7 linked regions of the Oryza sativa Japonica Group genome follow. The protein of the gene in region 1 binds, or shares a complex with, the protein of each later gene. Links are inferred from orthologs where the notes say so. Each region holds a gene or a part of one and is shown in the gene's direction. Other genes may lie near its edges.

Region 1 (4,185 bases):
TTAAGCCATCTGCATTCTTCTAAATCACTGCAACAACAATATTTATATAGATAGGCAACACAGCAAGTTGAGCTGTTAAAATGCACAGAAGTAAGACAATAATGAGTATCATATCATACTTTTCATTCGTTCTCCAGAATGCCCCAGCATTGTCGATAACCATCTTGAGCAACTCAAGAGACAACACCTTCCCGCGCAGCAGGACCTGATCTTCGGGATTATCCGGCGTCGAGAACTTCATGGACAGCTTGCACAGGTTCTTGAACAGTGTCAACCCATCCTCCCTGATCTTGCTCATGACAACATCCTCCTTCCCATCCGTCTCGGCCGGCTCAACCGGGGACCCCGGCTCAGGGACATCGCTTCCCTCCATCGTCTCGTTTATGAAGCTCTGCGCCGCATGGACAATGCTGGAGTCATTCAGGTTGCGGTCAGACATGTCCATCATGTCGGTGATCGACACCGTGCGCACGCGCACATCCATGGAGTCCACCTCCACGCGCGCGAACACGATCACCAGCACCTGCGCCAGCGCCAGCTTAGCGCAGAGCTGGTTGGCGCCGCTGCTGCTACTGAGGTATATGTTGTAGCAGGTCTTGAGCATCTGGCCGAGCCCTTCCCCGCGGATGGCGACGGAGGGGCACCGCGCGGCGGCCACGAGGACGCGGAGGGTGGAGAGCTCCATGGCGTCGTCGGCGAGCGCGCCGCAGGAGAGCACGGCGGCGAGCAGCTTGGAGGACGGGGAGTCGTCGTCGCCGCCGCCACCGCCGAGATCACCGACGAGGAGGCGGTGGTAGAGCAACTTGGCGACGCAGTCGAGCGCCGGGTCGGCGACCTTGGGGGACGCCGACTCGAGCGCGAGGAGGAGCGCGTGGATGCACGCGTCCGCGGCGGCCGCCGGCAACCCGAGCAGCAGCGACGGCGGCGACGGCGCCGACGCCGACGCGTACGCCGACGAGGAGAGCAGGTCGAGCGCCGCCTTGGCGGCCGCCACGAGGCCCGAGTGCTTCCGCCACGCCGCGTTCTTGATGATCCGGTCCAGCGCAGGGCCCAGCACCCGCCCCGACGGCGACGCGCCGCCGATTGCCCCCGCCGGCGAGGCCATAGTTAGCCGTCCACGCAGACTCTCACGCGCTCTACGCGGTGGTCGTCGCCGTCGCCGTCGCGGCCATTGGATCTGAGACCTCGAGACGAGGAGGAGGTGGAAGAAAATGGGAATTCGAGAGGAAGACGAGACGAGCGCGTGGGGGAGGAAGAGGAAGAGGAGAAGTCAGAGGAAGGGTATGACTGAAATTTCAGATTCTTCCAGGGGCCTAGATGCAAAAACGCCGCGACCCTTCGCGCGGGGGTGAGGCATTTTATCACTTTACCCCCCTCGGTTTCTCGGAATTCTTTCTTCTCGTCTCCATCGCTGCAGGAGGAGGAGGCGGCGGAGGACGGCGAGCGGTCAGTGGCGGAGAGGGGAGTGTTCGGGGACGCGGGGTTTGCGAGGTGGGGGGAGCTCTTGCGCCTCGGATCGGCTCACTTCCCGACGCCTCAGCCCCCGCCGCGCCGCGGATTATTGCTGTTAGGTTAAAGGTGGGGGTGAATTTTTGTTGCTGCGAGGTAGCTGTTCGACGAAATTCCGCAGCGTGGTTTCAGGGTTTGTCTCTCTTGCAGGGATTGTGGTAGCGAGAAGCGGTGGGGTTGATGGAGTGCGTGGTGCAGGGGATCATCGAGACCCAGGTTATTGTTCTTCTTTCTCACTTCGCCAGTAGACTTGTATGAGTGGTGACTGTGTGAGCGGTTGTTGAAGTGAACGGTAGTTTCTTCCGAGAATGAGTGATCTGTAGCTATGCAACGATGCATTTTTGTTCATATGAAACTGATTTGTCTGTTTATGCTGTAAAACATGACCAATTTGAACTTTTACCCGGAAAATCATACATGGCCCGTAACATAAGCCGGAGTGATGGTAGATGTGATGTTCTTCATGGATTCTTGATTTTTGTATGATGGTAGGCCTTTCTGGGAAATCGGTACTAGTCAAGTTTGCTGATCTGACATTTGCGCTCCTTACTTGTATGTTGTATCTAGAATTCTGAATTTTATTTAATTTTTGGCATAAGGTTATTTGGCCTTTCGCTTTGTAGTAACCTTATCCAAAGGAGTTGGAATGTAGAATTTCGACGTTTACTAAATGAACTTTCTATCACTTGATTTAAGATAGCATTTTTGTTGTTGGAGGTGTCAATTGCCTGAAAACAGACCTCTGTAAATGTAATTGTGATAAAACCTTTTGAAAGGTAACACTTAAGCTATCCCAGGTAGCAAATCTATCAACTGCATAGCCCCAATGTCAAATTACATCTCAATAGTCCTACTTAGGAACAAAGTTATTTTTTCACTCCATATAGCATGAAGTAGTATTGGAACTTTATGTCCATAGAGAATTTCTTTTTTCTTGAACGAAACACATCAGGGAATAGAGAATAATAATTCATGCCAGCATTAAGACTTTGTCGTCGATCCATTGTCTCTATATGACCTTTTGTTAGTCTCTTATAGCTTCCTCTTGTCAGCATATCAACACTTCCCTTCAGGATAATAAAAAAAAAGTATACAGTTGATCATGCTGACCACTATATGGTCAACCATGTTTCTCCACTCTGAGGGCACTACTTCTGCCACTTGCAGACTTTTTTTGATTCTCTTTTCAATATGTTGATATGGTTCTATTTTATATACAATTGGAGGAATCATATCACTTATATGGTTTGTAATTTTACAATAAAGGGATTAATTTATATACACATGTCAATGTCTTGTGCTTAGAACACCATTTAACCTTTTTTAGTTTTCATTGCTTTGACATCAGTGTAACTTTTGGTTGATCTTCTTGTTATGCAGCATGTTGATGCTCTTGAGGTTCTTCTCCAGGGCCTCTCTGGTGTCCCAAAAGAACGTGTCAGAGTGCATGAGCTCTGTCTTAAAAGTGGGCCAAATCTAGGTCAGTTTGCAACTTTTTCATTATTCTGATCATATGCCATTGTTACTCATATACATCTTCCAATCATACAGGAGTTGTCCCATCAGAGGTTCGTTTATTGTGTGACTTAGCTCAGTCCACGCCATCCTGGTAACTTTTCTTTCAGCTGCTAAAATTTACATTTTTGTGATATTTGATGATATTCTGAATCCAGTAGTATTCATGTAGGACCATAAGACATGTTGGAGGTGCCATGAGAGGTGCTGGTGCAGAGCAAATCTCAGTCCTTGTGCGGTCAATTGTAGAGAGCAAAGCCAGCAACAATGTATTGCGTTACTTCTACGGTATAGGGTACAAGTTAGATCATGAAGTTCTGAAGGGAGGATTTGCATTTCGTTTCCACCGAGGTGCCCAGATAACTGTGACCGTTACCTCTGTTAGCAAGATGACAAAACTCCATGCTACCAACGAAGCTGTGCCAATCACTCCTGCAATACAGCTAGTGGAAATCACGGCCCCTGCTGCTGCTGACAATTACAACGATGTCGTTTCAGCCGTCACTTCGTTCTGTGAATATCTAGCACCGTAAGTAACTAAGTGTTCCTTAGCTATCTCAAGATTATTACTAGACTGGCATAAACGAATTTTCTCACTTTTGACTGCAAAACACACTGCAGGCTTCTGCATCTCTCTAAACCAGGCAATTCGACTGGAATCGTCCCGACTGCAGGCGCTGCTGCCGCCTCACTCATGTCAAGTGGTGGTGGTGGTGGTGGTAAAACGTTGTGATCGGTCATATGTGTTGGCTGCAATGCCATGATGATCTCCATTGACCATCCCACTTAAAACATTGTTGCCATCTTTAGTTCTGTAACTTTTAGTCAGTAGCACCATGGTTTTTCTTGTAATGACATGCTAAATGCTGCCTACCTTGCTTTGGAGACTGGTAAATGAACACTGATCATTGCTTGCTTTTACTGAAGAGTGGAAACTGAATGCTGGGAAAGCTTGACGATATTGGTGGTAGACTGATAGCTGGAGTTTGTCATGATCCTGACAATATATTTGATGGTAGCTTTGTTTACTTTAATTTAGGTCACATACGTGGTAAGGATCTCATGGTTTGGGACGTTCAATTGCCCAGTAGTTTTTCTCTAGTTAATTAGTGTGCATCAAACTATTTTCTCTAGTTATTATGTAAGTCTAGCAGTCAAGTT
Region 2 (4,052 bases), on another chromosome or scaffold:
GACATCACATGGCACTGGGCCACTGGTAGTAGTAGAATTTACCATGCAAAAAACTGGCATAGGCATGATGATTGCATATGTTGATCTGGGAGGAGTGGATGTGATACAATGACAGTGATATCCAATAAAATGTAAGCTGTGTATCGCTAATGATTTTTCTAAAGAGATGCTGGTATTGATTAGTAGCAATACAATAACACAGCAGCTCAGTAGTTGTGAACAACAGGCCTGTGAAGTGTGAAATTGATGCTTATTTTAGTCTTTCTGAGTATGTCATAAATCAATGAAGCAAGGGAATGGAGAAGAAATGGAGTATATATGGTTATAGCGCTGCATCTGTTGATACTATTATCAAGGCAAATCTATATGCTACCTTTGAAAAAGAGAAAACAAACAAATCGCCAAATTTGTTGTATTTGGCGCATTTCTCTCAAACTTATGGTGTTACGGTGTTACCTGCAAGAATTATGATACGAATTGTTTGCGGTGCTTTTCTTTTTCATGAATAGGGGTCGGAGTTTTATTCTCCGAACCCCCTTGGTCGTCCAGGTTTTGCCAACTCGATCCGGTGGACAGTGGTTTGTCCTCATTGTTTCTTCAGGTTGTGATTGATTGCTGTGAGTTTTGAGCGGATGGTGGCATTGATTGTAAGCTAGTATGACAATCTCATCTGCAACTTGTTTCTGTGATTGGCAATGCTCTGGCACATCGATCCGCGCAAGTAGAAATTCAGTCACTCACTGTATAGTTGGTTTGCAGAGAGATTATCTGAATTTACTTGCTTGCTCAACTTCAAAAGGCCTGGAATTCAGAAGCTGGACTGAAGAATCGACATACTACTACTTATTTTGTGAAATATCCGTCGTCCCTGATACGTTGCAGATTGATCACAACTTGCGGTTGAGTTTGGAATATCATTGCCACCGGCACCAAAGAGAGTTTTGTTCCCTGAAACTTGTGATCCATGGACGAACAACAGAAGAACAGGCCTTGTTGTCTTGTAGGCATTGATAAGAAAAAGCTCTCTGATATAAGCCTTCGTTTTACCATTGCTAGGAGATAATTCCTGCTCCCGAGGGGCCTTGAGAAATGGAAAATAAAAAAAGAAACTCCGGCCCATTCGGAGTAGTGGAAGTCTGGAACTGGTCCAGGCCAGCCCAGCAACATTTACTTGTTAGGCCGGCCCAAAGTCAAAAAAGGCCCATCATACTCTCTTCCAGAGAAGAAACTCCAAAGTCCAGCACCCAAACTCGATCGAGAATTCGCTCCTCCTCACTCCGCCGCCCGACGACCTCGCCGGCGGCCGCCCCCACCCCGCCGGCCGCCGCTTCTGCTTCCCGCGGGGGGATCCCTTCCGCTCTTGAGCGGGACTCGTGAGCCCCAAGGCAGTGCCTCCTTCACTCAAAAAATTGTCTCCGATCTAATTAAGCCCTCCGCCGCCGCTGCCTCGCCTTCGCCATGGAGGAAGCCGTGCGGGTGGACCTCGACAAGCTCCCCATCAAGCGCCTCCACGCCATCGACGAGGCCGGCAACGAGCACTACCCGCCGTAAGCACCAAACCAAACCAACCTCTTCCCTTCCCCTGAAACCCTAACCCCCACCTCTCTCCGTTCACTGAGATTCGGATTCCGCAGCGACACCAGCAGCGAGGAGCAGCGCCTCTCCGCCATCCGCCGCATCGACTTCTCCTGGGTCATCGACAAGGACGCCAAGAAGCCCAAGAAGGACACCGCCCAGCAGCAGCAGCAGCAGGCATGGCCGTGGCAGGGCATGATGGAGAGCCTGCAGCAGGCGCAGCAGGAGCTCTCCGTCGTCATTGACCTCATCTCCACTGTCAGTTTTCCCACACACAATACTGCAAACCCCATTCTATTTGCATGCGATTGTTTGTATTCCTGACAGAGGAGACAATCCTACTTGATAATGCAGGTCGAAGCCAATGATGCAGTGGCAGTCGCTGGGATGCTCAAGCCCAAATCGCTGCCAACCGAAACCTTAGTTGACACCGCAGTCTCTGCAGCCACCAAGCTTCAGCGCGTTCGGGTATGTCACCCTACTGCCTATGTTTGATTACTTCAATTCACGGCTAAGGAACAAAATGGAACCTAAAACAAACTCAATTTGTTTCTGTAATCGCTTGCCACTTTCCTCTTCCGTCTTGCATCTATCATGCTTCCTGTTGTGATCTTCATTTGTGTCCTCGCAGCATTTGTCACGCTACTTCAAACAATCTGCCAAAACAATGGAGCAGCAGTTCCAAAAAGAGTCTAGGTTCTATGGCTCATTAATCAGGCATGTCTTGTTGCTTAACTTGAGTTGTTATTTCAATACCACTTCACCCAAGTTTGCACCATGAATTACTCGCGGATTGGTGGCAGATTGCAGCAGAACTGGAAAGTGAAGCGGCAACGGTTTGGTGGAAGTGGTCCAGGAAGTGAGGGCTTCATGTTTGATCTGATCGACACTTCTCAATTGGACACAGCAGCAATGCCTCGACTGTCATCATTACCATTGATTCCAATTGACCAAGACTCATCAGGCACTTTGTCCGTACAAGTCCCTCAAAAATCTTGCCGTTTCTTGAGTCTTAATTTTCGAGGGGACAGTGCCAATGGTGTGGAAAACTACGGTCATAAACTGAAAGATGGCATCTCAAGCATCACTTCCTCTGAAACAGACAATGATGATGTCAATAAATCCATCAAACATGCACATTCTATTCTTCGCAACATCCACAAGTCAATATTTGAGGAGCAGGTCAGCTAAGTGTTTGCTTGGCATGCTAAGAATTCCTGTATAGAATGCTCTTAATTAAGTTTTAACTATAGCATCATGGAAAATTATTGTATATCATGTGATGACATCTTGCACCACCACCACCCCTCCCTCCCCGGGTTTATCATTATTTATTTATGTATATCGTTCTGTGGCTTAGCTTAGTGTATGCCTTTGTAGGTATTTGATATGGTGATCCGTGAGACATTTGTCCAATCTCAAGGCATCAATGTGACTGGAATGCGTGAAGATTTTCTCCAATTAGCTATTGGTCAGGAATGTTCATTGTGCCTCTCGCTTGCTCATTCTGGAGATGGTAGTGACTCAGAAATGGTAGACCATGAAGACCATGCCAATTCAGAGGATGCCTCAAATCTTGTGTTGGTCACTATGAATGGGAAGCTGGACCCTTTAAGAAAAGACGTGACAGGGTTTCCTAATCCCAGAAGTCTGGAAATTTACTTGCTACAATTGTTTCATGAGAACATTCTTAGGAAGGTCAGGGAGAAATCCCTTAACATTGGTCGCTACCAAAGTCCTGCTCAGGTTGCAGGTGATGATTATGGCCTGCTAGGTCATTTCTGCTTGACAGTGGCTCACAGGATATTTTCTAACAAAGTACTCGTGGAGCTTGAGAGTGTGGTATAGCTCCTATAAGCTTGTTGATGCTACATATTTGCATGTAGATCATTATTTAAATTTCCTTTCTGTATTGCAGGTCAGCAGGGTTCCATATCTCCATTTGCGTTCTCTTCCTACTTGGCATTCTCGAACTTCCTCCTGGTCTCTATGCTTGAAAGTTCCTCAGCCTATCCTTGCTGCAGATCGGATTGCAAAGCCTTCTGATAACCATGAACTTAAGTACAAATCCAGGTCACAGTTCAATACTAAGGTGATCGTGAAAGATAGCCAAATTAGTCTAATGGGTGAAGGCTCCCCAAGCATTGCTGGATCATTGACTGGGAAGCCCTCCGATGGATATTTGGTAAATAGCTACAATTGTGACTTGGAGGACCTCCCAACAATGCTTCTGCAGCAGGTAAACTTCTGATGATACTATTTAAATTATTTCTTGGTAGATCATGTTTATGAAATTATTAAAGTTATTACCATTGGAATTCATTATGGTCCATTGATAATGCAATGAGCCAGACTATTTCTTGCATTGCAAATGTGTAACATAAACTCCTTGCATTTGAATGTGAAATGCACAATGGTAATGCATTTTTCTTAGTTTTTTTCCCTGAGGAAATCTTCATTTGTGCCTATTGACCTAC
Region 3 (4,289 bases), on another chromosome or scaffold:
CTGGCGTGGCTTGTTGACCTGATCTAACCGACTGAATTAGCATGTGGGGCCTAGATGTCAGCGTCCCCTCCTCCCTCTTTTACTTTTATCTTCTTTCTTCCCTATCCTTTCCCTACATGGTGATGAGCTCTAGTTGGGAAGGCGGTCGGTAGAACAAGGGAAGACGATAGGGATGCCACTGAGCATCTGACGAAGGTGACTCTTCCCAATTCCCATTCCACCCCCTTCCTGGGATCAGGAGAGGACACCGACCACCGCTCTTCGGTACGGTGGAGCAAACGAAGTGTCGTCTAAGAGGTGGCTAGAGACGGGCGGGAGACGTTGGACTCCAGCAATCGAGGACACACATGTCGACATTTCCTATCTCTGGAGAAGCTTCATCAAGATCGAGCTCGCTTGCCTCATTGGATTTGCCTCGTTGCCCTCACCAAGAACGGTAGCGGAACAAGGTTGCCACGCCCACCAAGGATAGGGGGCATGTGCTCGCCATTGCCTACAGCTTGAGTCTGTCATTAAGGTCAACGACATGGACGACGTGCTCCAGCGAGCCATCGAGGATGACCTCCCCCTCGGTGGCAATGATGACTACAAGAGCTCGTCGACATCTACCCCTTGTCCTCCGACGGGTGGTGGCTATCCCTTGGCCATGCAGAGATATGCACGTGACCCTCCTCTCTCTCTCCCTCACTATTGCCATGTATGGCTCCACAACATATAAAGGAGAAGGACTCTTAGATCTCGATGACAGCGAGGTCAATCACCATCCTTGTCCATTGCTAGGCCTTATTAACCGAGGCGTTGATAGAGGTGAAGGTGGGAAAAGGACGTCGGATTAGAGGAGGCGACAGAGAGAAGGGGAAGTGGCTTGAGGCTCGGATCTGTGAAGGAGAAACACTGATGGGACCCGGCTTTGTCCAGATCAGTGAGGGGCCTCGGTGTGGCAACCGTTGGAGCCCACAATGAAGAGGACATCTACGGCAGCACTGGGCCTCTCCGACTCTCCATCACCGCTGTGGCCCTTCCCTCCTTTGCTCCACAAGGTTGCCAACAGAACCAAGCTTAGTTGGTTGTGTCGGTGGTGGCTTTGTCGTCTAAGTCACTGACACTATTCATGCTTGAGCTCGTCACCGCGTGGAGAAAGGAGAGGGAAGAAAAGAAAAAACAAAAGCATGAGGAGAAAGAGAAGGGGACGACATGTGGGTCCCACATGCTGACTTAATCGGTTAGACCAGTTCAATGAGCCACGTTAACGAAAACCACCCTCAAAATAACTAAAAAGAGTTTTTTTATTCACCGGTGTTAATAGCCGAGGGTTCGATATACACGGTTTGCGATTAAGGGAGAACGAATCAGATTGGACCTATAGTCGAGGGAGACAAATTGGACTTATTCCGCTCAAATACTAGGGCCCTGATAAGGCCAGGCCTGGGCTTCGAGCTTCGGCCCAAAATCAACATATCCTTTGGGCTTTTGGACTATGTTGGGCTCTGAAGCTAAGCTTAGTTCACTTCACAGCCAGCGCCGACGAGAGGAGGAGCAGATCGGCTAGGGTTCCGGCGATGGCCTCCTCGGCGGCGGCGCGGCGGCGGCAGGAGATGGCGGCGGAGGGGCAGCGCCACCTGGAGGAGACCATCGCCGCCGCGTTCCAGATCCTCTCCTCCATGAACGACGAGCTCTGCAACCCCACGCTCTGGTCCTCCTCCTCCGCCGCCGCCGCCGCGGCGGGCGGCGCCGGCGGACTCCAGCACCACGGCAACAACCACCACCACCACCACCAGCACCACCACCACCACGGCGGTCTCCCTCCGCCGCCGCCGCCGCTGCACTCCGCGGACTCCGACGCCGCCGACGCCGCCGGGGGAGGGCCCGGGGGCGCGCCGGGCTCCGGCGGGTCGCTCGACGAGGCCAGGCACCGGTACAAGGTCGCCATGGCGGCGCTCCGCACGTCCATCGCCGCCGTGTCGTCCTGTGCTCAGGTCAGCACACGAATTTACCCGACATTGCATGCTCCCGTAGTATGTATGCAACCACGAAATGCGTGTTTCTAGTGATCGTCTAGTGGAAATTGTGAAACGTATTGCACTCTTTGTTGATATCAAGTTAGGTGCTTATACATAGGTAAGGGAGCCAAATAATTTTTGCAAAAGAAAATTTCTTATTATTGATACCAATGTAAGGGAATGTAAGGGATGTTGTGATGTAGGTTCGGACTACATGGATGTGGACTATATATATGTTTCAATCAACATGAGCTTTTAGTGTTCAATGTTCATGAGACAAAAATAGTAGTTTTATATGATTCTATTTTTAGCAGTAAGTGTAATCCTGATGTGCAAAATATGGTGCTATGGAGAAACCTCATAACAGTTTACTTCTTTGTAATGATGTTGTGGTTTTCTTCGTAGGAGATGGGATCGACAGAACACAAAGCTGATCAAGCTGAGATTGAGAGATTGGAAGAACATGCATCTGCTTTGAGAAAGGTACTATCTTGGGAATGTTCTAGCAATATAATCAATATCATTTTGCTGTATTCAGAATTTTTCCCTGAACCAGTTGGTAACTGGTGCTTATTTAGCCATGTCAATCCCAAATATTTCCCAAACAACCTGTTTTGAACATAATGTGTGTGTGTGTGTGTGTGTGTATATATATATATATATATATATATATATATATATATATATATATATATATATATATATATATATATATATATATATATATATATATATATATATATATATATATATATATATATATATATATATATATATATATATATATATATGTTCCTTTTATGCTTCAATCATTTTAATTCAAAAAGTCCTGAGAAGAGTGTAATCCCCAATTTTTACCTGAAACCATTTTAGATAGCCAGGATCTAGTTTGGCAAGCTGTGATACTGTGTTGCTTGTAGTGTTTTGGATAGTCATGTTCATTCTGTTGAACTCGTCAAAAAAGCGTTCCATCTTGATCTTTCCTGGCAATATTCATGCTTGTTAAGTTGTTATCTTATCATTGTTTTTTCTGCACTGGATACTGCATGTCATTATTGTTTGCATACTTGGATTTGCCTGCTAGTTTAGAACTTACTCCCTCCGTCCCAAAATAAATAAACATAGTATGGAATGTGACACACCCTAATACTAGGAATCTGGATAGGGGTCTGTTACTAGGTTTGTTATTTTGGGACAGAGGGAGTAAGTTTTTGCAAATCCACCTTTGATGCTAATTGGATTCTGGACTATTTAGCAAATCCTTTTCATCCTTTGGAGGGCTGTTGGCTGTAATGGCCTTGTAAGTCTCAACTACTCCTTATCTATGCTAGATCATTATAGCATAAATACAGATTATTCTCCTTGATGTGTATAAATGTGTATAGAAAAATGGATTTGTGGCTTATTCAGTTCCATTTGTATGATTTATTGAGATCAGTGATTTTCATGTACTCCTATGTTTGAAGTGTAGCAAACCATAGTTATTAAGACCGGACCGGTGATCGAACTGTTAGGGTACTCGGTTCACTGGTTTATTGGTCGGACCAGTCAAACCGCCGGTTTAAAGCGGTTCAAATAGATGTGTGTTAGAATACTAGAACAACATGTGACATAGCCGGCTGAGACTCTCCGTGGAAGCAAGGAGGTCTTGGTTCGATCTTCAGTTCAGCAGGTTTTTTCCTATTTTCTCTAACTCCACGTGACACCCTCCAGCAGTCGAACCACCTTCGGTTTTTGTCTGGTTCTGCAGAAAACCGCCCGGTTCAATGGGTTTTTGCCGGTCTGTTTGCTCAACGATCTTTTAGCTGGACTGGACCAGCCAACGCCCTGGTTCCCTTTTTTTCTGATCGGACCACTGGTCTGGTCTAGTTCTAATAACTATGTAGCAAACAGTGTTCTCTAATGCCTCGATTACATAGTTTGTTCCTAAAAAGTTCAAAGCATTTCATTTTAAACATACACTGGTCAGTACAATCTCAATTAGCTGATCCCATGTGTCCTAGTTCAGATTTCTATATATGCCCGTGGTATCATGGTCTGTGGAAGTTTTGAGTCCTCACGCTTTTGACATATATAATACATTTTTTGTTTCAACCTAGTAATGTGGCATACTGTTCTCTGGTACCGTAAACCAGTCTAATACAGGATGTTTACTGCAGGAAATTGAAAGCAAAAACAAGCATGTAAAGCTCCTTATCGACCAACTCCATGATTTAATATCGGACATATCAATGTGGCAGAGTCCTTGCTCAGTGTGAAAACTCATCGGCATTTATCCTTTAGGAATCC
Region 4 (4,169 bases), about 26 Mb from region 1:
CGGGCGTGTCTCACCGTTGGCGATGCGTGTGTGCGTGTGTGTGTGTGCAGGGTTCACGACGGCGCACACGTCGTGCTGCAACGTGGACACGACGGTGGGGGGCCTGTGCCTGCCGAACTCGCGGCCCTGCAGCGACCGCAAGGCGTTCGTCTTCTGGGACGCGTACCACACCTCCGACGCCGCCAACCGGGTCATCGCCGACCTCCTCTGGGACGCCATGCCGAGCGCCGGGAGCGGGGGCGCCGCCACCACCCCTCTCGCCGCGTCGCCGGCGCCGTCGCCGTCTCGGGCGCCTTAGTTCACCGATCACGACGTACTGTAGTGTGTCAATTGTGATGTGTACTTTTGTAGCGCCGTACGTGCTCGTTCGCGCGGATTGTTCTTGGAAGCGCCGGTGCTGGGTACTAGTAGCTGGTCGAATTCACAAAATTCGTTCAAATTATGTTTTTGGGACCATCCCAATGGGACATATCAGATGTGTGATATGTAGGATCATCCTTGAGTTCAATATACTCCAATATTTGTAAGAGTCCTAGCATCGATGCTTTTCGTTTTATCACTCAAAGCCAAAAATTAAAATTTTAAATTTAATTTCATAGTAGTTTTTTTTATCGTGATTTATTTTCAGCATTGGTTTTTATTCAATCTCTTCTCTATCTCTATTATTATAAAAATTAAAGATGTTTTTGCCGGTATTTTGGTACGTCATCCGTATTTGAGTCGGTTTTTAAGTTCGTTCGTTTTTGGAAATACATATCCGTATTTGAGTTGGATTTTAACCTTGTTTCCTTTTGGAAGTATAGAAGGAATCGTATAAAAAATCTTTTGAAAAAACTCGCATGCTAACTTGAGATGAAATACAGACTCCTAATTGCAGCTCATGATTTTTTTTAAACAATAAATATCAAAGTGAATTCCCACATTGAATTTTACCTTAGCTAAATTGTGTAACAATAATAAAATTAAAATAACATTTACTTGTTGCAATGTACGTGTATTTTTTCTAGTAAGGACAAATATATTAAAGTTTTAATATAAAATCATCACGACTTATAATTAGCTGTACGTAAAATAATGAGACCAAGCATGATACTACCTATTCCACCTACGTTAAAGAAAAAAGAAATGAAAGGAGTATATAACCGGATGGTATTTGGTAGCTTTCGATTATATGGCCACTAATTTGAACCACAAATATACCAGAGAACATGTTTTTGTTCTGTTTCAATTTCAATTTTTCGACCCAAGAGAAAGGTAGAATGCATACCAGCGGTCTGGATCCGTCTCCATGCAGCTGAGACTACACATCCCACCGTCCGTTGATCTGTTCCCTTTCCCCCAAACTGCAAGAGCTCATCAGGTCAGGTCCGCCACACTCCTAAACCCTCGGTCGGAGCAAGCCCACCGCACCACTCCAGTCGCCGGCGACGGAAGCGGCGCATCGGCGATGGACGGGGCGCACGGGCAGAGGCAGCCGATGTCTCCGGCGATCTCTGCTTCGGCGGTGCTCCCGCAGCAGCGGCAGATGCAGCTCCACCACCACCACCACCACCCGGCGCGGTCGTCCATCGCCGATCTCTTCACCCTATACCTCGGCGTGCGTGCCTTGTCTCTCCTCCCCAATCTCTAACCGTGGTGCACTTGTGAACGCTAGCTCAGACCCTGGGTTTCTGTGATTTGCAGATGAACTCGAAGCAGCGGGTCGAGGATCCAACTAGGGAGACCTCGTAAGTTTGATTTCCCACTTGTTGGACTTCTAATTGGGGATTACTTTTTAGGGCTAGCTGGATTGCTCGAGGGCTCGAGCACATGAAACATTATGATAGGTTAGGTCGGATTATTTTGTCCTTGTCGTTCGCGCTTTGTTCAACTTTACCTTTGAAGGCGATGGCTTCTGCAATGTCCGGAGATTTTTTTTTTGAAAGGAATTCTGGAATATCCGGAGATTATTGCCGCAATTTTGGAACTAGTGTGCTGTACTCTAGCGGTTTTTCGTGCCTTGTTCATTTTGATATATGGTAGTTTTTGGACAAAATTTGATATGGTAGTTTGACGATGGAAGTCAATTCAGCAAGCTTTTCTAAAACTGTAATGCATAATGGGCATTGAATTTCCTCAGGAACAAGTTGCAGAAGAGAGTAACTGCTATGAACAGAGATCTGCCTCCCCGAGATGAGCAATTCATTTCGGATTTTGAGCAGTTGCACATGCAGTTCCCAGTAAGCAGAATCATTACGCAAGTACTTTTGTTTATGTCATGAGAACAGAACAAATTTATTATTTGATTTGCATGTTTCTTCAGGACCAAGAGCAGCTGCAGGCAGTTACGGAATCAGTTCTCATCTCATTTGTCCTGCAGTGTAGTAGCCACGCCCCACAATCTGAGTTCTTGCTCTTTGCCACACGTTGCCTGTGTGCTCGAGGCCACCTTCGATGGGACAGTCTCCTTCCTTCTCTACTTAATGTAGTTTCCTCCGTGGAGGTACCAATGGGGCAAGGGGTTTCTGTGACTACTGGTGGCCCGGCAACATCTTCTTCATCAGCTATTGCAGTGCCAAATGCCCCAAGCTTTCACCCTTCAAATCCCACATCTCCATTGTCAGCAATGAACACTATAGGATCTCCCACTCAATCTGGTATCGACCAACCCATAGGTGCAAATGTCTCACCCATTAAGGGAGCAGAATTCTCTAGCCCTGGACAGCTTGGTCTGACAGCTAGAGGTGACCAGTCTCGCAGGGGAGCAGAAATTAGTTATCTGCATCACTTATCCTGTAGAATTATTCTAGCAGGGCTGGAGTCTGATTTGAAGCCAGCCACCCATGCTGTGATATTCCAGCATATGGTAAATTGGCTTGTTAATTGGGACCAGCGACCGCATGGTGTGGACCAAGCTGATGCATTGCAATTGCAAACCTTGAGGCTTGAAAGACCTTTGCATGAATGGATGCACCTATGCTTAGATGTGATATGGATTCTAGTTAATGAAGATAAATGTCGTGTTCCATTCTACGAGCTTGTTCGCAGCAACTTGCAGTTTCTCGAAAATATTCCTGACGATGAAGCACTAGTTAGTATTATTATGGAGATCCATAGGAGGAGGGACATGGTATGTATGCACATGCAGATGTTGGATCAACACCTTCATTGCCCAACATTTGCAACTCATCGGTTCTTGTCGCAATCATACCCAAGCATAGCTGGTGAATCTGTTGCTAATTTGCGTTATTCTCCCATTACTTATCCAAGTGTATTGGGAGAGCCGCTACACGGAGAGGTGATATTACTTTTCCCCCTCTTTACCCACCTCTCCCCTTTTAAGTTTGCCATTGAACCTGTATGCATTGACTTTGTACTTGTGGACTGAAGCTCAATTTTTATGTTCATCCGATATGCTCTGCACATATTTTGACTGCATAGAGATATTGCAGTATTCTTTGACCACATTGGGGCTACGAGCCTACGAGATTGAAATTAGTGTCGCAAAATGGCTGGAATATCCTTGCAAACTCTTTAGGATTGTTGTAGTATCCTCTAACATTAACAGGGGATGACATGCTAACACATTTTGTTTGAGTGATCATGAATAATTTCACAGGAGGGAGAAATAAACGGAAAAATCGCAAAGCATCATAACATGCAGAGGCAAAATATATTTTGCAATTAAATTTCAACACACCGCATGTTTTTCAAGGATGGATCAGGAAAATTGGCAGGAAATGAATAGATAATTGAGCTATTAGTTACTAATGTTGGTTTGGGTAGGATCTGAAATCTGATATAACTTTGTTGTTTAGGATCTTGCAAACTCCATTCCTAAAGGGGGTTTAGACTGGGAACGTGCTTTGCGTTGCTTGAGGCATGCACTCCGCACAACTCCGTCACCAGACTGGTGGAGGCGTGTTCTTCTTGTTGCTCCTTGTTATAGACAACATCCTCAACAATCATCAACGCCAGGAGCTGTTTTCTCACCTGATATGATCGGTGAGGCAGTTGCTGACAGGACAATTGAACTACTGAGGCTCACGAACTCAGGTTAGAATTTGAAAGTTAACCATTTACCTTGTCAATATAATAAAGTTCCTTTTTCAAGTGGACAGCTGATGGGAATATAAATTTCAAATGTTCTATTGATGCACCCTTTTCACTATTTTTTCTTTTAGAACGTG
Region 5 (2,574 bases), on another chromosome or scaffold:
CTTTGCTAAGGATTATGCAACCGAAAACACAATAGAAACAAGAAGTAATGGTTAGAGGAAATAAACCAGAATATGGCAGAAAGCCAGAAGCTAAAGATTATGGTACAAACATCATAAGATAGCTATATGACTATATCACCTCCTTTATTGACATCGAGAAAAATAACTTTAGATAAAGCCACTGCACATAACTAACCAAAGTTCGATGTAGTAATTATGTGGATGATGATGATCTCCGTGCTACTGGATGCATGATCGATAACCCAAGACAGTATGGACTTGCCATCGGTGGGTTGCTCAGGGAGAGCAACATAAACCTTGTCTCTAAACAGAGTTTTCTGCCTGAGCATCATACTCATGCATGCAACTGGTAAGGCCTTGAAGATGGAACTAAGAGATACTTCTATCTACCAGTTTGCGTTTCCCACTTTGGACAACTAAAAGAGGGAACACACTGCGTATTAGCATTAAAGAATAAGATTCCAGTTTAACCAGGTAAAAAGGTTGACTCTTGACTGAGACTATCGGAAGACAACGCAACACTCAACTACCAAGTCGCAGTGAATGGATTATCTGAGGAAAGTCATTTGGTACGCTGTCATGCCATGCCAGTACAACACGGCAAAATTTGCTGGGAACAGGGACATGTTATGAATTAATGTAAGACTCTACCTTTCTCACATCCTTCACCCCCATTGCTCACCACAAATTCCCTGCCTTTCATTTCTAATAAAAAAAAGATGTAGTGCATCGATTGTGTGCCAGTGATAGAGCCATCAGTCTATCTGGTGATCTAATCTAAAGATCTCGGCCTCATATTTCAGTTACTCCATATGAACGGGAGAAACAACCTACGGGTAGTGACGATTCAGCAATAATAGCATATGAAATTTGAGGCGAACAAAATTGACAACAAGCAAACATCTCATCATCACCAGTACTGCATATGAAATTAAATCATCGTGGTACAGTCAAATCACCTTTGACGATTGACTAGAAATGGCGAACACCGAATAAATACATCGCGGCGGCGGCGGAATCGCGCAGGGAGACGGCAACATCGGCGCGCGGCGAGGCGGGAGTTGGGGGAAGCCGTCGCCGGCTCACAGGATCCCACCGGGGTCGCCCGCCTCGCCGTCGGCGAGGGGGAAGCCACCGCCGCTCCGGCGAGCGGCGAGGCCCATATTTATCCCTCGAGAAAAACCCTCGCCTCGCGTCCCAGCCCAAGTTTTAACGTGCGGCCCAGTAAGAAGATACAGCACGAGACGGCCCATTTTAAAGTGGGCCGCGAATCTGCGGCCCACGAGGAATTTTTTTTTTTTTGACGCTACTGGTTTGGGAGTTTGACACTGTGACGAGTAGAGGTCAAGTTGGTGGGGAATCTAGGCGGCGGAGGCGGTGGAGCGTGTCGGGGAGAAGCCGCCGGCGGCGAGGGGAGATGGAGGCGACGGTGGACGAGCTGAGCGAGGCGTACCAGGAGTTCGTGGCGGCGGCGGCGGCGGTGGTGGAGGCGCGGGGGCAGTCGGGGGGAGAGAAGAACGCGGCCACGGACGCGGCGCTCGAGGCGTTCAAGCAGCGGTGGGAGCTCTTCCGCGTCGCCTGCGACCACGCGGAGGAGCTCGTCGAGTCGATCCGCCAGCGAATCGGTTCCGAGTGCCTCGTCGACGAGGCCACCGGCGCCTCCTCCTCCTCCTCCGCGGCGCTGGCCGCCCCCGGCATCAAGCCCATCAGCGCCGTCCGCCTCGAGCAGATGAGCAAGGCCGTCCGCTGGCTCGTCATCGAGCTCCAGCACGGCGCCGGAGGTGCCTCCGCCGCGGGTCCCGGCGGCGGGGGCGGCGCCGCGGCTGCGGCTTCCGGCGTTGCGGGGCAGCACGGCCACGGCGGGGTCGACACGCGCTTCCCCGAGGACGGCGCCCAGTAGGTATTTATTTTGCTCAATTATCTTGTACTAGTAGTATTTTCTTCCAAAGAAAACAAATTACTGGTGGTATCTCTGTGTAATCGTCTAAGAATTGAAGCATTAGAGCTTGTGATCGATATTCTAAAAAAAATTGAGCTTGTGATTTTCTCAGCATTGTTACTTTATGCCTACTGATGTTAAAATTTGGGAGAAATTAACCGTTTTCTTAGTGTCGTGGCCAGATCACGCTTAGTAACTGATTTAATTTTGTCCTATTGCTTTTGTTAAGTGACTAATTGTGTAACGGACTTCCTTCCAGTAGGTTTTAGTTCTGATTTGTAGCTCGCTCACATAATGTTCGTGCATCGTACTAAGGTAAGGTAGTAAACCTGAGGTCCCAGGAAAAAATGAACAATTTCATATATACTACTCAACTAGCATATAACTGTATAAGTTCCTTCAACTTTCAAGTACCTACTCTGGATGTTTTGCTAATCTTGCGTCCGCCACAATGTGAATGCTTTTCCTTCTGATTTTTTAATGAACAACATTTTATTGAAGAATAACTAAGCAGCCACAAAAGGCACAATTTGTGATAATAAACTCTGGGAGATTGCTCATGGTTTGTGAAACCCAGTTATACTGGAAAGTGATATTGGTTATTAGCTACTAGT
Region 6 (3,437 bases), on another chromosome or scaffold:
GATGTTTGCTAATCAGCTCAGGTGCCTTCTAGAACGCTCACATAAAAAAAACTCAGTGATCTGTTTATGCATAATAGAATTGTTCCTCACACCAAGAGATGATTGTTTGTGCTTAAAATGCAGCTATGGAAATGGAACCATGTTCTCTTCTCGACTAGTTATTCAATTGCTGTGTCCTTTCTCCTACGCAGTGCAATTATCTACTCTGGAATTGTGCAGTTATTTCAGTTATAATGATTCTCTTCCAACATTTAGGAAAGACCAGAAACAGTTCAATTTCATTATTTCAATATTGTTTACTAAGAGATCTGGCAGATCAAAATTTGTTTACTGAAAAAAAAAAGGGGAAGAAACAATCGAAGCATCCTTACTAAATGAATTGGATTATGAATTACGAATCATTGCTCAACTGCATCGTATAATGTAACATTTAACGACTGTAAATGTTTACTGCAAAATGGAATGAGGGGAGGGGGGCATTTGACGGCGCATTACCTCGAACACATGATGTGCATCCAGAGACGAAGCTCCACTCCCAGCAGCGAGATCCCAAAGGCAAATCTTCTTATCATACGAGCCGCTCAGCAGCAACCCCTCCTTCATCGGACTCCACGCCAGCCCATACCCCTCCGCTTCATGCCCCCTGAGCACCACATCGGCGCCGCCCTTCTCGCCGCCGTCGCCAAGATGGTACACGTGCACCTCATCCACGCAGGTCTTGGTAGCCACCGTGTACGGCCTCTGCGGCATGCAGCGGGCGCGGTTGACCTCGCCCTTGTGCGGCACCGAGCGGGAGATGGACACGGACGGGGCCGGGACGGCACCGCCCGCCGCCGCGGCCGCCGCCGCCAGGCGGGGCGGGAGCGGGAGGGCGGCGTCGGCGAGTAGGAGGTGGTTGGGCGTCTCGTCGGAGGTGTGGGTGCCGAGGACGAGGCGGTGGGAGCGGGCGGAGCCCGGCGACCGGGAGTGGGAGGGGAGCCACTGGACGGTGAGCGACGGCCACTCGAGCGGCTGGGAGATGACGAGGTCGTAGAGCACCGGCGCGTTCTTCTTCCAGTTCTGGTGCTCCTCCATCTCCGCCGCCGACGACCTCGCCGCCGTGGAGGACCCGCCGTCCATGGCTCTTCTCTTGCGAATTGCGCGGGAAGTGGAGGCGGCGCTGTGGTGCTCTCCCGCCAAAAAGATTGGGGAGACGATGCGGCGGAGTCAGAAGAGATGGTGTTTTATGGCCGAGTTAATGGGCTTTTATGGGCCGTAAAGCCCATATAATACAATTTGGAGGCCCATTAGCCCATTAAGAGGAAATTTTGTCTAGTAGCTTCTGCCTCGCGTCCGTCTCCTGCATCCGCAGTCGCCGCCGCCGCCGCCGCGATGATGCAGTCGCACCACCCCTCGCCGGCGCGGCTGGGGCTGACGGCCTCGTCGCCGTCGCTCCCGCCCAACCCGGCTGCGGGGAATCCCACCTCCTCGCCGCCGCAGGGCAACCCTAGCGCGGCGGCGGCCGTGGGCGCTGCCGCTGCCGCTGCACCAACCCTAACTACATCGCCGTCGCTGCTGCCGCTCCTGCCGCCGCTCCCGCGGGCGCAGGCGCTCCTCCAGCTGATCTCCGCGCTCGCCTCCAACCTCTTCGAGCTCTCGCCGAGCCGCGCCGCGTGGATCTCGGCGTACCGGGGGTCACTCCCCACTTTCCTCCCCTCGCCGTCCTCCGCGCCGCCGCCGCCGCTCCCGGCCCCGATCTCCTCCACCAAGGAGGCGCTGTCGCTGCTCAACACGCTCCAGACCCAGCTCTTCGAGGCCGTCGCCGAGCTGCAGGAGACCCTCGACCTGCAGGACGCGCGCGCGCGCCTCGCCCGCGAGGCGCGCGCCAAGGACGCCTCGATCCTCGCCTTCGCCAAGAAGCTCCGCGAGGCGCACCACGTGCTCGACCGCCTCGTCGACGACTACGCCGACTACCGCCGCGACCCCAAGCGCCCGCGCGGCGCCGCGGCGGCGGACGACCCCGAGCCGGTGTCAGACGGCGACTTTGGCGCGTCGCTGCACTCCAAGCTCAACCTGGACGACGTCCTGACGTACGCCCACCGCATAAGCTACACGACCTTCGCGCCGCCTGAGCATGGTGCTGGGCTGCCTCTGCGTGGGGCGTTGCCGCCTGCTCCTCAGGAAAATGAGATGAGGATGTCGCAGCTGTATCAATTTGCGGATTTGGATGTTGGAGTGCCGAAATCCCAGGAAGCAAAGGAGAGGACTGCAGCAGAGGGAGATGCCACTCCGCTTTTTCAGCCTTCACCAACCCAGGAGGCAGCTGTGCTACCAATCACTGTGCCGCATCCGCATGGGTGGCGGAACGGGGCGCTGCCTCTCGAAATCCCGTTGCCGCCGCCTGGATGGAAACCCGGGGACCCGATCACTCTACCGCCGGATGGCATTCTGGCTGGTGTCAAGGGTGAGGAGCCACGGGCCAGTGTGCAACAGATGCCGGTTGTGGTGCCAGCAATGGTGCCGAAGGCACAAGAACCGATACAGGTTCGGCATGTTGATCTTGACATTAACAATAGTTCTAGCAGTGATGAGTACAGTAGCGACGTCGGGAGCTCTGAAGAAGATGATGAGGATTAGTTCCTTGGTAAGCTATTTTATGATTCATGTTTCCATGCCGTTGTAGGTCATGTACTAGTAAGAACAAATAATGCAAGCTCTCATACATGATTATTCAAGATCATGCAGCAATATACTGGTATTGAATAGAATTGGGTGGCGTATCATGTATGTGTTGATTAATTAAACCATCTCACTAGTCAATTTGCTTCGATATATGTAATCAAGCATGATGGTCTAATTTCCTCAGGATGTGCTGGTGTTGTATCGTCAGAAACATGGCTTCTTTTATGGATATTTAAACTTGAACATGGTGTGTTTAATGTTTGATGCCCTTCTTCACAGATTACAGGTTTCAGTCATAATTGCTTGCTAGGCTTGCTAGCTGGTTATGGGCTTTTCAATCAAGTAATGACTTCCATGTTCATGCACTCTGCTTAATTTTTCTCATTGTTTTACCTTATGTCTGTACCTCTTATTGCTGCAATATAGTTTGAAAACCTTTATACCATTGTACCAAAGAGTGGTAGCTGAAAACTCAAGAATGTTCTATAACTCAAGCTATATAAGTTATGAGAAGGGAGTGGTTTCAACTTGTAAGTTTGCACTTAAATGAACACACCATTTTTCCTATCTTATTGCACAGCATGGGGGATCTTCCTACTACAAACATGATACTAGTACTATAGGTCTTAGTTTTCATTCACGAGCTTATCTTGCAGATGATAAAGTAGTAATTGACTCAAATGGGTTAGAACTGCCAAAGCATCATCAGAAGTAACTCCTTTTATAATTTTATTGGTGCATATCGCATCTTTATGTACTTTTTTTTCCCAATTCAA
Region 7 (4,225 bases), on another chromosome or scaffold:
ACTGTGACCGCATCTGACAAAGGTTCTCTTCAGAGGACTAGAGGAGTTTATATCAACTGCAGCTTGATCTAAATTCATAGTTAAATTTTAATAATATATAGTTGTAGAATATAGAAAATAAATAAGAAATTAAATAGAAGTACAGGAAAACTACATTTTACATGTTTTCATGAGGTACTGCTAGTAGCTACTCAACGGTTGCTTAGGCTTGATTCGTTTATCTGGGTTGGGAACCTTTCATCGAACACGCTAAATGGAGTGGTAGATTTACACATGATTAATTAAGTATTAGCTAAAAGTATACACATGGAAAATGATAGGGTATAAGTTGGAAAAGCTTGCTGTGTTCTTTGTTCAGAGTTCCCAACCCCTCTACCTCGTGTTCCGTGCGCACGCTTTTCAAACTTCTAAACGGTGTATTTTTTAAAAAAAGTTTCTATATAAAAGTTACTTAAAAAATAAATTAATCTATTTTTGAAAAAAAGCTAATACTTAATTAATCACGCGCTAATGGACTGCTCTGTTTTCTGTGCGTACTGTTCCGGTTGGGAATCAGAGATACCGAACACATCCTAAAAGAACACGACTTTGATATTCCTTAGGGGAATGCTAGGAATCGGTCGCTCAGGGGAGGGAGAAAAATCGGGCGCTCCCTCCTCCCACGACGCGCACTGCCCTGGGCCCCACCACGTCTCTACCCCCACCTGCCACTTATCTCTATCACATACTCCATTGCAACAAATCACCTATATATTTTGGAAACACTCTATTAAGGGAATACATTTCATTTTTTTCCACGAAGAATGTTTTACCTTTTATACCCACAATATTCCACTGTGTATAGATCTAATGTCGCAGTGAACTGAAACATTCTTTCACTATTTGCTGAAACATTATTTTTATATAAGGTGAAACAACGCCCGACTTAAACTATTGAAACATTTTCGATCTCTTAGTGAAAAAATTCCGATATACTTGGTAGAATATCGTGCAACATTTTAAAATAATTCAATAATAAGCTAAATTTTTTTTCATCGGAATATATCTATGTGTGTGATCTTGTTTTGAAGATTTAATTGCAACGAATTTAATGGTGAAATCATGATTTGGATAAATAATTTAAGAGAAAAATTAGTTTAAAGTAGTTTTGCACGCATGCGTCATACTGATGTCAGCGTCCGATTTTTCTCCAAACCCATCGGTCGCCCGACGCGTAGGCTCCTCTTATTCCTTGAATTAGAATAGGTATGGCTACACGCCTACACGCACACAAGATAGATGAGGTGGGTGAGGCGGAGCAGAGGATCCGGCGGGCTGGGACCACCTCGTGTTGGTGCCTGGTGGTGATGCAGTGGGCGAAGTGGTTACACCAACGCGCACCACCACCACCATCTCTCTCTCTCTCTCTCTCTCTTCCTCCTTCCCACCAAACAAACATCCCACGCTTCGTCCCTCCCACTCCACTCCCCACCCCCGCGACGCCTGCGGCGACGACGACGGCGACGGCGAGGAAGGCTGGCCACGGCACGCGGCGGCGAGTAGTCCAGCATGGCGGCGCCCTCGGCGGCGGCGGCGTGGGTGGACTGGGCCGCGGAGTACACCAAGGCGGCCCAGGCGGAGTCGCGCCCGCCCGCGGAGTGGGCCGCGCGGGTGGCCTCCGTCGTCGCCGCCGCCGGGGACGCGCCGTGGTCGCCCGGGCTCGCCGAGATGCTCGCCCGCGCGCTGCTGTATGGCGGTGGCGGCGCGGCGTGGAAGTACGCCGAGGCAGCGCTCGCCGCGGGCCTCGCGTCGCCGGCGCTGCTCCTCGCGATCCTCTCCACCAGGTACGGACGGCGCGGCGCCCCCGCTCCCATCCATTGCCCTCCCCCCACGCGCGCGCAGTGGCGTTTGTGCGCGCGCGCGGGGAGAGACGAATTTGCGTGCGTGGTATCTGACATGGGCTCCTGCTCACGTGGGGTGTACTGTCTGATGGAATCCGCGCAATCGCGATCGGATCAGGCTACTAGTTTCGATCTATGAGATTTCCCTCGCAACCAGATTACCACAAATGCAAGTTGTTCTACAGCGTGGCCTGTACATGATCATAAACAATCTGATGTTTTGGGCCCTGTAAATTTGAGAAGGAAAAGGGATGGTGGCGTGCTTACTGTGCGTAATACCCATAAATTTGAGAAGTATATGAATGGCAGTGTATGTAGAGTACTCGAGTGTGCAGTGTAATGCAGATCAATTTAATACATGTATAGCAGCAGAATACTCTGTTTCATTTTTTTCACTTTTTTTCTTCTCTCTAGAGTCTAGATCATGCTAGTTGGAATAACAAGTGCAGTTTGAAATGTGCTTTTCAGCAGTAATCGTATAACCAACTGGCGAAATCCGTGCACATTTTCAATATCTGCTATGCTGCTGTGGAATGTTCTATAAAATAGAATATAAGACTGATTGCAAATATTCCGTTGATGGTTTCTCTCCATTCAGGGTCATTCCTCACCGGTTCACAAGGCCAACTGCATATAGACTTTATCTGGAGCTCTTGCGGAGACATGGATTCAATTTTGCTTTTCAGATGAAAGCGGCGAATTTCAAAAAGTGAGGTTTCCTTCTATGAGGTGTTCCCAGTAGTTTCATAATGCACGCATTCTATGTTCAGAGGTTTCGAAATATACATCACAGGAACATGTACATCATTCTGAACGATTCAGTACTGTTCAAAAGAATTATATAAGACGGGAATTTTAATACGATATGCTGACAATTAGAGTTTTGGGTGTCTACCACAATACATCTAGACCACCTTATTGCATCTGCATACTGGACATATCAAGATCTGTTCCAAAGAGCAACAATTTGCAAAGGAAGAATTTCACCTGGTTGAAAGGGCCAGTTCTGCAGTGATACATAATATTTTCGGTTGAATTGGTTAAGGTGTCACTTTATATGTTTTCAACTCGCATATAGTTCTTTCATGTTAGTTTTTAAAGAGTTTGTTTCTTGTGACATGTCTGTTCTGTTAGCATCCTATGTTTATGCCTTGTGTAGGTATCTGTCATTCTGTCTGCAACTTATCATTCCTTTAGTTGTCTTCTAAATGCAAAGTTTCATGACACCTTCTCATATTTCCGCAGGATCATGCAATTAATAGATGATAACCTTGGTCTCTCAAAGATATTTGGCTTTTCAACATGCGAACCAGGGGTTTTTGTTGTTGAATTTACCCTTTGCATGTTATGGCAGTTGGTTGATGCTGCATTAGATGACGAAGGCCTGTTAGAGTTGATACCGGATAAGAAAGCTCATTGGCCAACTAGATCAGATGATGTGAGTGCATTTGATGGAACTTTCTCTGAACAAAGAATAGACAAAATTGACAAGTTACAGAAGATGAATAATGTGATAACTATAGAGCTCATTGGGCATCTTCTTCATGACAAAGTAATTACTCATATCCTCTCATTGGCACGCGAAAACATGTATGGCTTTTCAACTTCATGTACTGCTTTACTGAGTTATTCCAGCTCTTTCTTCCTATCACTAAAAACAGTGAATTTATCCCTTTGTTATTATATCAATTGATAGCAACTTAATTTTATTTTAGTGAGTTAATGTATGGCTTAAATATCTCTGTGTTCCATATGCACCATATAATTGAAAACATTCTCTCTATTGGCTTAAGGTTCTCAAGTCAAGCTTCTGTGTCTTCTGAGTATACAGGGTATTGCCAATATTTTTCTGGAATATATCAGATTCATTGTATTTATGGAATGGCTGTACACTTTTATAAAACAACTGTCGACCGCAATGCTAAAATGTGAACTAATAGTACTCTAGAAGGACTACTGGTTGTATGAACAAGCAAGCTTGATTGGTTGCAACTGTAATGTTCAAATGATTTTCTCTACTACTTTATAACCAAGAAGGATCACTGATAGAATCATAGAAACTCTGGCCATGGGGGACAAGCTCTGATATACTCATGCCAATATTGTCTGATATTGCTGTTTGTGTTCATAACTGTACTAGAATCGTACACAAATGAACTATTGGGATAACAGTACATTGGTAGAAGGCATTCGTTTAAACTTCCAAAGTGGGGATCAAGGGCATCCTTAAGACACCACAACTGAATTCACTTACTGTTTTTATTTTTTATTTTTTTGAAAAAGTATGCTACTTTAATTTGTTATTATTACCACCAGTACTAACGAGTCTTGATGATTCAGGCAAT

The links.
Region 2: mediator of RNA polymerase II transcription subunit 18 (region 1) and mediator of RNA polymerase II transcription subunit 17 share a complex: the UniProt entries of both Arabidopsis thaliana proteins name them as parts of the mediator complex. The link is inferred for Oryza sativa Japonica Group from reciprocal best matches to the Arabidopsis thaliana genes AT2G22370 and AT5G20170.
Region 3: mediator of RNA polymerase II transcription subunit 18 (region 1) and mediator of RNA polymerase II transcription subunit 30 share a complex: the UniProt entries of both Arabidopsis thaliana proteins name them as parts of the mediator complex. The link is inferred for Oryza sativa Japonica Group from reciprocal best matches to the Arabidopsis thaliana genes AT2G22370 and AT5G63480.
Region 4: mediator of RNA polymerase II transcription subunit 18 (region 1) and mediator of RNA polymerase II transcription subunit 23 share a complex: the UniProt entries of both Arabidopsis thaliana proteins name them as parts of the mediator complex. The link is inferred for Oryza sativa Japonica Group from reciprocal best matches to the Arabidopsis thaliana genes AT2G22370 and AT1G23230.
Region 5: mediator of RNA polymerase II transcription subunit 18 (region 1) and mediator of RNA polymerase II transcription subunit 32 share a complex: the UniProt entries of both Arabidopsis thaliana proteins name them as parts of the mediator complex. The link is inferred for Oryza sativa Japonica Group from reciprocal best matches to the Arabidopsis thaliana genes AT2G22370 and MED32.
Region 6: mediator of RNA polymerase II transcription subunit 18 (region 1) and mediator of RNA polymerase II transcription subunit 4 share a complex: the UniProt entries of both Arabidopsis thaliana proteins name them as parts of the mediator complex. The link is inferred for Oryza sativa Japonica Group from reciprocal best matches to the Arabidopsis thaliana genes AT2G22370 and AT5G02850.
Region 7: mediator of RNA polymerase II transcription subunit 18 (region 1) and mediator of RNA polymerase II transcription subunit 33A share a complex: the UniProt entries of both Arabidopsis thaliana proteins name them as parts of the mediator complex. The link is inferred for Oryza sativa Japonica Group from reciprocal best matches to the Arabidopsis thaliana genes AT2G22370 and RFR1.

Annotation. Positions count from the first base shown.
Region 1 is NC_089036.1:5,237,976-5,242,160, forward strand, and holds mediator of RNA polymerase II transcription subunit 18, read left to right. Parts: upstream 1-1,385; 5' UTR 1,386-1,578; intron 1,579-1,659; 5' UTR 1,660-1,689; coding exon 1,690-1,725; intron 1,726-2,889; coding exon 2,890-2,989; intron 2,990-3,060; coding exon 3,061-3,118; intron 3,119-3,196; coding exon 3,197-3,553; intron 3,554-3,645; coding exon 3,646-3,757; 3' UTR 3,758-3,945; downstream 3,946-4,185. Other genes in the region: brefeldin A-inhibited guanine nucleotide-exchange protein 1, read right to left, coding at 120-1,105. UniProt on the Arabidopsis thaliana protein: Component of the Mediator complex, a coactivator involved in the regulated transcription of nearly all RNA polymerase II-dependent genes.
Region 2 is NC_089046.1:28,095,974-28,100,025, forward strand, and holds the start of mediator of RNA polymerase II transcription subunit 17, read left to right. Parts: upstream 1-1,252; 5' UTR 1,253-1,458; coding exon 1,459-1,547; intron 1,548-1,634; coding exon 1,635-1,833; intron 1,834-1,929; coding exon 1,930-2,043; intron 2,044-2,206; coding exon 2,207-2,292; intron 2,293-2,378; coding exon 2,379-2,757; intron 2,758-2,955; coding exon 2,956-3,417; intron 3,418-3,493; coding exon 3,494-3,814; intron 3,815-4,052. UniProt on the Arabidopsis thaliana protein: Component of the Mediator complex, a coactivator involved in the regulated transcription of nearly all RNA polymerase II-dependent genes.
Region 3 is NC_089038.1:19,469,314-19,473,602, reverse strand, and holds the start of mediator of RNA polymerase II transcription subunit 30, read left to right. Parts: upstream 1-1,489; 5' UTR 1,490-1,559; coding exon 1,560-1,976; intron 1,977-2,405; coding exon 2,406-2,483; intron 2,484-4,159; coding exon 4,160-4,258; 3' UTR 4,259-4,289. UniProt on the Arabidopsis thaliana protein: Component of the Mediator complex, a coactivator involved in the regulated transcription of nearly all RNA polymerase II-dependent genes.
Region 4 is NC_089036.1:31,045,629-31,049,797, reverse strand, and holds the start of mediator of RNA polymerase II transcription subunit 23, read left to right. Parts: upstream 1-1,369; 5' UTR 1,370-1,447; coding exon 1,448-1,597; intron 1,598-1,683; coding exon 1,684-1,727; intron 1,728-2,119; coding exon 2,120-2,219; intron 2,220-2,302; coding exon 2,303-3,277; intron 3,278-3,797; coding exon 3,798-4,035; intron 4,036-4,169. Other genes in the region: GDSL esterase/lipase At5g37690, read left to right, coding at 51-298. UniProt on the Arabidopsis thaliana protein: Component of the Mediator complex, a coactivator involved in the regulated transcription of nearly all RNA polymerase II-dependent genes.
Region 5 is NC_089044.1:22,150,916-22,153,489, forward strand, and holds mediator of RNA polymerase II transcription subunit 32, read left to right. Parts: upstream 1-1,348; 5' UTR 1,349-1,438; coding exon 1,439-1,921; 3' UTR 1,922-2,074; downstream 2,075-2,574. Other genes in the region: U-box domain-containing protein 70-like, read right to left, coding at 197-359. UniProt on the Arabidopsis thaliana protein: Component of the Mediator complex, a coactivator involved in the regulated transcription of nearly all RNA polymerase II-dependent genes.
Region 6 is NC_089043.1:25,716,283-25,719,719, reverse strand, and holds mediator of RNA polymerase II transcription subunit 4, read left to right. Parts: upstream 1-1,296; 5' UTR 1,297-1,371; coding exon 1,372-2,616; 3' UTR 2,617-2,937; downstream 2,938-3,437. Other genes in the region: histone-binding protein MSI1 homolog, read right to left, coding at 496-1,119. UniProt on the Arabidopsis thaliana protein: Component of the Mediator complex, a coactivator involved in the regulated transcription of nearly all RNA polymerase II-dependent genes.
Region 7 is NC_089041.1:6,111,124-6,115,348, forward strand, and holds the start of mediator of RNA polymerase II transcription subunit 33A, read left to right. Parts: upstream 1-1,425; 5' UTR 1,426-1,548; coding exon 1,549-1,823; intron 1,824-2,478; coding exon 2,479-2,589; intron 2,590-3,125; coding exon 3,126-3,470; intron 3,471-4,220; coding exon 4,221-4,225. UniProt on the Arabidopsis thaliana protein: Component of the Mediator complex, a coactivator involved in the regulated transcription of nearly all RNA polymerase II-dependent genes.